2 linked regions of the Oryctolagus cuniculus genome follow. The protein of the gene in region 2 interacts with the protein of the main gene of each other region in a pairwise test. Links are inferred from orthologs where the notes say so. Each region holds a gene or a part of one and is shown on either strand. Other genes may lie near its edges.

What was found. The genes of interacting proteins can lie anywhere in the genome.
Region 1: the proteins of SMURF2 (region 2) and SPART interact in a two-hybrid assay, tested with the Homo sapiens proteins (2 studies listed by BioGRID and IntAct). The link is inferred for Oryctolagus cuniculus from reciprocal best matches to the Homo sapiens genes SMURF2 and SPART.

What each region holds. Positions count from the first base shown.
Region 1 is NC_091440.1:77,771,439-77,775,087, reverse strand, and holds part of SPART (spartin), read right to left. Parts: intron 3,567-3,649; coding exon 3,369-3,566; intron 1,255-3,368; coding exon 1,090-1,254; intron 1-1,089. UniProt on the Homo sapiens protein: Lipophagy receptor that plays an important role in lipid droplet (LD) turnover in motor neurons.
Region 2 is NC_091448.1:14,048,235-14,052,668, reverse strand, and holds the start of SMURF2 (E3 ubiquitin-protein ligase SMURF2), read right to left. Parts: upstream 2,920-4,434; 5' UTR 2,783-2,919; coding exon 2,641-2,782; intron 1-2,640. UniProt on the Homo sapiens protein: E3 ubiquitin-protein ligase which accepts ubiquitin from an E2 ubiquitin-conjugating enzyme in the form of a thioester and then directly transfers the ubiquitin to targeted substrates.

The DNA of each region.
Region 1 (3,649 bases), on a different chromosome or scaffold from region 2:
TAACAGCAATAAGAGCAAGGGTTAGCACCAAAAATCTCAAAGTTAAATTAATTCATTTTAAGTACTTAGGAGCTCAGACCTAACAGAGTTATAAACTAACTCAAAAATCAAAGTGCTTAAAGAAATATAAAGAATTTCACTTAAATACACACACCTTAAACAAACTAAAACTTCTACATGGAAGGAAAAATAACACACAAGTAAAATCTAGAGACAAACTGGGTAAAATATTTGCAACTTCTGACAATGGGCCAATATCTCTAAGTTATAACGAGCTCCTGGAAACTGAGAAGAAAAAAAAGGCTAACAACCCACTCATAAAAATAGACAAAGGTTATGAAAAGACCATATACAGAACACAAAATTCAAAGAAACTTTAAGCATGTTGCTCAACATTATTCAAACTGAAATCAACACAAATTTAGATATTTTAATACATCATTCTGATCTATCAGACTGCCCAAACACAGAAAGACTGAGTACCCACTCTGTTGGCCAAATTACAGGGAAAGTGGTAGTCTTCGTTTCTCCACATTCCAATGCCCCCAGTGAATGCTGAAACCAGGTAGTACTGATTTCTGTGTCCCAAATAGACAGACAGACAGACAGATATAGATATATCCTACACATACTAGCCTATGATCAAGTTTACTTAACAATTATTCACAGCAAAAGATTACCAATGATAAAAATAGAACAATTATAAGAATGTTTTGCAATAGCAAAACTGGTACAAATTTCTTTTTCCTCCACAATTTCACAAACCAAAAATTTGTTCTTATCTGACACATTAGCAACCTCAGCATAAGATTTTTTTTCTTTCTTTATTAAGTCCAGAACTTTCACTTTTTCTCTTGGAGGAAACGCTACGGCTCCTCTTTGGCATATCCAAATTTCCAACCAAGTCTTTTGCTCTGGAGCCAATATTAGTAAAGTGAGGGTTAACTGAACTCATAAGCACTATGATACAGGCCTATGTCACTCATCTCACTTCTTAAGTTCTTTGCTCTAGTAGATGAGGAAAAGATCGTATAATACATGAAACTGATGAAAGGTACTAGAACACACTATCACTGCTCCTTTATTTACCTTTTTTCCACGTTTTCCTTTAAGACGCACATCCTTACTGCCTTGGTCTGTAGGACCCAACTGTCTCACATCAGTATCAGAGGCTTCCTTCAGTTGGTCAGAAGGGTGTCTTGTTCTTCCAGGGATCTGGAATTCATTTTCTCCTTCTGCTCTGTTCCAGTTGGCCTAAGGAGTGAAGGACTAAGCTAAGCATTAACCAGAATTTTCTCAGACTTCTTTTCTCCGGATGTGTTGCGTTATGCTTTAGTGACACACTTGTTCAATTGTCAATAACAACCACTTATACTTCTATCCCTAAACTCTTGTTTCATCTTGATCACCAATTGACAAACCTCTGAGTTCTTTGGTTCAGACAACATGGTTTAAAATAAATGTCAAAGTATAAGAGATAACATAAAACAGTTGTTAATGTAAGTAATATTTAAATCAGATGCAACTACATTTGAATTTAATTAAATAATTGATAATAAATTTTAGGAAACACATATGTATTATATATGACTAAAACAAGCTTAAGGGTAATTAGCAAAACTTAGGTCTTAACTACTCTGCATTGTTGAAAGCCTATTTTGCTTTTCTTTGTTTTTTGCATTAAAGTACTTTGCAAGTACATATTCTGCTAAATGATGCTTTAAAGTAAAAACTATAGCCGATAACTAGCTTTTATTTCTGGCTGAATTTCTGAGACAAGAGAGCCAACTAAAAATACATGTTAATTAAAATAAAATTAACAGACAAAACATATACATTAATGTAAAAGTCTATTTAATTTCTTTCCTAAAGCTCAACAAAACCAGGTCAATGAATGAAAGGAGAAGTAGCTCCACACTAGAGTGTCACTTCACTCAGTACACAGCAAAACTAAGATGAATCCAGATGCATTTTACCATGTCCTTTGAACTCTCCATGAGCACACTGAGGCTACACACTTCTGTGTGGCAATTCATGTGTTTTGTTAACACAGATTAAATTATTGCTGGCTGTCCTAGAGTACTGGCTTGTTGATCACCAGGTCATGCTCACATACTTGGGAACAGAAGCTATTCTATAAATTGTTTTATTCTCATGTTCTCACTCTTCCCATCCCACCATGTTAGCAGTTAATGTTTGGTTAAAAAAGATTCCAAACACCTACTGACTGGAGAGAATACAAGTTTATGCTATCATGCTGTCAGTTTCACTCAACCTCAGATAACTGTCACTAATCATTATCAAAACATTCCACTCTTCTTACCATATGGTAGGATGGGCAGAACACCTAAAGAAAGCCTCTTCATAACAACCTATTAGAACTTCCTGTGACAAATAAGCATGTGGGCAGAGAAAAGGCTAAAGTTCACAGGATGATCTTATTTTTAAATCTCATTGTATTTTCCATATATTTGGTCTTCATGTACCAGAAAAAGATGATTTTCTCAAACAAAACATGTTTCTTTCTCAAAATGCCAATCATATTCCCAAAATGTCCAATATAAGCCATGTGCTAAAATTACCTTCACTTCACCATTCAGTCCCCCTTCCCCACCAAGAAGTAAACAGAAAATGACAGATAATCATTTTAATCTGTTAGCATTGAAAAAAATGGTTTAATGGATTAACCTTTTTTAAAATAAAATATTTGTTTATTGGAAAGTCAGACTGAAAGAGAGAGAGAAGGAGAGACAGTGAAAAAGAGAGAAACTTCCATCCACTGGCTCACTCCCCAAATGGTCCCAACGACCAACCAGGGCAGGGCCAACCAGGAGTCAGGAGCTTCTTCCAGGTCTCCCACAGAGGTGCAAGGGCCCAAGAATCTGGGGCATCTTCTGCTGCTTTCCCAGGCACATTAGCGGGGAGATGAATCAGAAGTGGAGTAGCCGAGACTCAAACTGGCGCCCATATGGCAAGCCAGCACTGCAGGCCATGGCTTAAACCATGTCACAATGCCAGCCCCTAATGGATTAACTTTTAATCTTCACCATAGTACAATGAGGTGGACGTTATTAGTAGTATCCACATTTTATGATTAGGAAACTCAAGTATGGAGATGATCAGTAATAGTTGAGTTAATAAATAACTATTAAGTAGAAGAGTTTGAATCCAAACTCAGGCAACTTGATTCCAGAACCCACAAAGTTAAACAGTATTTACAGCAAATTCCCAACATATAGTTGTGAACATACAAATTATATACTCTGTCTCCTAACTCTGATCACATTAGAGGTTATTACAACGTCTTTAAAAGCAGAAGTGCTGATGTTAAAGCAGATTTTCATCCTAAAGATAATCACTCAAGTTACCTGGAGTCGAAGGTCAGACATCTGTCTTAACAGATCCTCAAAGAGCTCTCTATCATCTTCCGGTAGCTCAGAGGACAAGACGACCCCTACAAAGCATCCTGCTGCTTGCAGCATTGTATCAGGAAACATGTAAGCTCCCACAGTGCATTTCAGAACTGGAGATCTATCAGGAACTAGAGGATACAACCAGTCACAAACCTGAAAGGATTAGCCAGAACAACAAAAAATGAATGAAATTAGATTTTCACCATGGTTTTAATGAAACTGTTTTATTAGAAAGT
Region 2 (4,434 bases):
AAGCAAAAGACCTCAGAGCTCAAATATTGCCTATCCATCATCGTATGTGTGTCACCACAAAAAAATTGTTAGCCTTTCAGTAAAGGGGCAACTCCTCATTAAGAACATAATTGAGTAACTACAGTTCACAAAGCACCTTGGAATCAAAGACACTATAAATTTACAATACTAGTCTTCTATTAAGTTAAATAAAGCAAAGAACAATAACTTTAAATAAAACATCTTATAGCCCAAGTGTACTATAAAAAAGTAAAAAATTCACTGTGGGGATTTTTTTTTTTAGAAGAGATTTTTCCTCTATTAGGGAACCTGGATCTAAATGAACTGCTAAACACTTAGTCTAAAGGTATGCCAAACATTTCTTAAGGTCCTAACAAAGAATCAACTTTTTTTTTTTTTTTTTAAACAAAACGAGGCCTAGGTTAAATATTTTATTTGGCTTCTCAAGATGGACTGAGAAGTTGGGCACCAGCTCCAGACCAATTCCTGGACGCACATCAAACACAGCCCTGTCATTTATCCAGTCAGTCAAAACAATCTTTTCCATCTAACCCTTTAATGTTTATGTCCTAAAAAGCTGCTAATTGAATCCAGCTCTTGAAATCTATTTGTTAAAATCTATACTGTCTAATTTGTAAATGATGAACTAAAATGAAAAATATATATATATGTTAACTTTCCTGGCAAAACAGAAGAGATTCCACCAAATGTAACCACAGGGGAGGGCAATATTTTTAATATCTGTCAAATTTTAAGAGAAAACTATTCAGAAATTCCCAATGGTTTTCAGAAATTGAGAGTACCTCAAACTGTTTTTACAATTAAGGGGACAAAGGGTATTTAAAATCCCTCAGAACAATCTAAATATACAAAATCATTCTATAAATGTAGTCCAACATTCCCTCTGCCCTGAAAACAAATTAAGTGTAATCTTTCCTAACAAATCTAATTTTACTCAATTTTTAGAATGTATCATGCAATAAGGAAACCACAGATAAACACTTTATGACCTACTGAATCATATTAAAAATCTCAAAACTCACGTAATCCGCAGAAAATCAAAATCCCGATTTCCCTCCCCCCCTCCATTTTCTATGTACGTGTATACAGCCCAGAGGGAAGTCAATGGCAACAGCCCATTTCTGATGCTTTGTGCACATCTGGAAGCACAGGTTCCTTCGATGCTCACTGACTCCAGATAGGAACAGCAACAGATACCTCTGAAGCAACAATGATTCCTTAAAGGATTTCCCACAATAAAGAAACTCAATGGAGGAAAGGAAGACAAGCATCCTTCAAACCAGATTTTTCCATTAAGAACCACTCAGTTAATGGCTCTTCGCAATTTTCCCCAAGGAAGGCAAAACTTTCATGGAGGTAATATAGTTTTAAAATTGCAGGCAACTCAGGCTAACTTCTCCAATACCAAATTCACTGCAGGTTATTATCTAGAAGGTTCAGCCAGTGGACTGGAAGGTGACACACAGCATTCAGCTACAAAATTAGTCCGTATAAATCTCAAAGTCTAGTGTGGGCAAACATAATTACAGTTTATTCTGAAGCGCGCGGGCGCACGCGCAGGTGCCCGTGCACGCACACACACACATACATACACACACCAATCTAAGGAAAACCAAATTTCTCACCACACATCCAAATATAAACGTGTTCAATTCATTAACGGTGAAACTAGAATGATGACACACTGATTTCAACTACACGTTCCCAAGCAAATATAATTTTTTTTCCTTAAAATGGGGGAGATATGTTGATATAAGAAAACCAGAAATAGCTCTATACACAAAACGCACCTGTAATAAAGATTTCACGCACCTGGAATCAAACACTTTTTAAGACTAGTCTTCTATCTAGCAAACCCCTATGGACATTCTTTTCCATTTAGAAAAGGGAAAGGGGAGGGTGGGGAAAGTGAGAGAAAGTTCCCTTGAAAGTTGTATGAGTACACTTAGCCAAGTACCCTCGCCCCTTTAAAAAAAAAAAAGTGTTTAAGGCAGGTCTAGAGTTAGCAGGGAGCCACAAGTCCTGCGGCCTACAAGGAACAACTCAAAACATGCTACCCTACAATCAAACACTTCCAAAACACAGAGCGTACAATGAGCCAGAGTCGTGGGATCAGCCAGACACACCGGAAAAGCCAACCTCAGTCTCCTTCCCTCCCCGAGCCGCGCGGTCAAGGTGTGTGGCACGGCCGCCGGGGCTGGCAGCCGAGCGCGGAGGCTTCGCACGCGGGCACACAAGTTAAGAAGCCAGGAACGAACGCGCGCGCACACGCGCACACACACACACACACACACACACACTCACACTCACACCCTCCCGTTAAGCGCTCCATCTTTAAGGAGTGTTTACTGCGCGCAGCAGCAACCGGATTCAATAATCCCCTCCACGACCCCACCTGGGCAGCCTCCCGGGGCCGCTCCCCGAAGCCCCCGGATTAGAATCGGACCCCCCGGCCGACACTCCCCGACCTCCCAACTCCGCCTGCGGTTCGAGCCGGCGTACCCCTCCCTTCCACAAAAGACCCCCCGACTCACCCTCGGGCTTCCCAACCCGAGCGAGTGCTTTTTCCAACTACCTTCTCTGAACTAGGCCCTCCCACGCCCCCGGCCCCCGACTCACCATTGATCGCGACCCTGGCCCTTCCCAAGGCCACAGGCACCCCCCCGCCGGCTCGCCCACCTCGCGGCCGCCCCGGCCGCCCCCCCTCACCTGTCAGGCGCAGCTTGACGGGCCCGTTCCGCCGGCCTCCGGGGTTAGACATGTCCCCGGCGGCGGGGACGGCCGGGGCGGCGGCGGCGGCGGCGGGGCTCCGGGCCGGCAGGCGGGGCGGGGGCGACGGCGAGGCGCGGCGACCGAGTCACCACAGCGGCCGGGGCTGGGGCCCGGGCAGCCGGCGCCGCGGCCGTGGCGGCCGGAGGGTCCCGGATGTGCCGAGCGTCGTCGCCATGAGCCGCGGAGGGAGCGGGACGCCGAGCTCCCCCCTCCTCCCACTTCTCCTTCCTCGGCCCGGGCCGCACAACAAAGCGGCAGCCGCGGCCGGCCGCGCCGCCTCCGCCCGCGCCCCCGCCGCCGCCTGGCAGTAGCCGCGGCCTTCCCCTCCGCCCCGCTCGGCGAGGCCCGGGAGCCGACGGGACCGGCCGGCCGGCTGAGGCGGGCGGTGCTCGGCGCGCCGCAGCAGGACTCAGGGCTCGGCCGCTTCCTCCTCCACCCGCCCTCTTGTCTGAGGGAGCCGGGTCCCGAGGCCGCCGCCACTCGTCGGCTTCGGGGGGCGGGGAGGAGATGGGGCGGGGGCGGGGCCGGCGGCGGGGGCGGGGCCGGGGCGGGGCGGGCCGGCGCGCGCCTGTGCCCGGGGCTCGGGGCGGGCGGCCTGGGCTCCGCCTGGGCGCGGGCAGGGGGAGGCGGGCGCGCCCCGCAGGCCAGGGTCCGACGGGGGTGCTGCAGGGAGCGGGCAAGGGGCCAGAGTGGCGCTGTGGCACCTAGAGGGGCTTCGTGTGCAGCCCACTTCAGGTAGAGCGTGTACCGGTGCAGGACCAGCTGCACTTATTAGACGCCTACTGTGTGCAGGGCGCTCGGAGAGAGTGCGGGTGCTGGGTGAGGAGTGAGTCCCCCGAAGTCAGCGTCTCCCAGGCGAGGAAGGATAACTTTTCCCACTTGCAGCGTCTCTGCAAACCCCCAGGAACTGCAGTTGCCACCACGGCCCAGCACTCACCTGATGGGCGAGATCAGGTTACCTGCTCGCTGTTTCTCCAGCTGCGGAGCGAGGACTGGGAGATAACACCAACGCCTTGAAGACTGTCACCCAGATCAACCTTGGACAGCTGTATATGCAAAGCCTTTTCAGTACCTTGTTTCGTTATCTCAGGAGGAAAAAAAAAAGTGCACCTTACACTTTGATCCTGCACTTGCACTACTAGGAATTTATTTTTAACAAATACAGAACAATACAGAAGACGTTCTTCACGACGTTTGGATAACAGCAAGAGGGGAGTGAGCCAAGGGCCTAACAGTGGCTTATATTACATCAGCCGAGTTTTTCTGGGTGCAGCCATTGAAATGGCAATTATGAAGATCCTTTCCTGTGCAAAAGTGGCACAGTGAAACGCACAAGGACAACAGCGCGGGGGATTTCTCTGTGTGCGCTTTGCTAGTTTACTTAAGGCTGTTCCATTAGTGGAATGTTCATTGTCTAATAAAATTAATAATTTTAACCCTAAATCAGTGTCAGTCATTGCTTTCAGTTCATCAGTGAGGTCAGTTGATTCTCCGGGGAAGTGACCTCCACAAACATTTGATCAGTCTGAATGCAGCCCTATAATTAAAGTGACCCAACAGACTAGAAATACAAGGGACAGCGCTAGAAATTCATTCAAAAAATACTGAGTGCCGAACTACGAGCAGGGCAGCCAGCAAGTA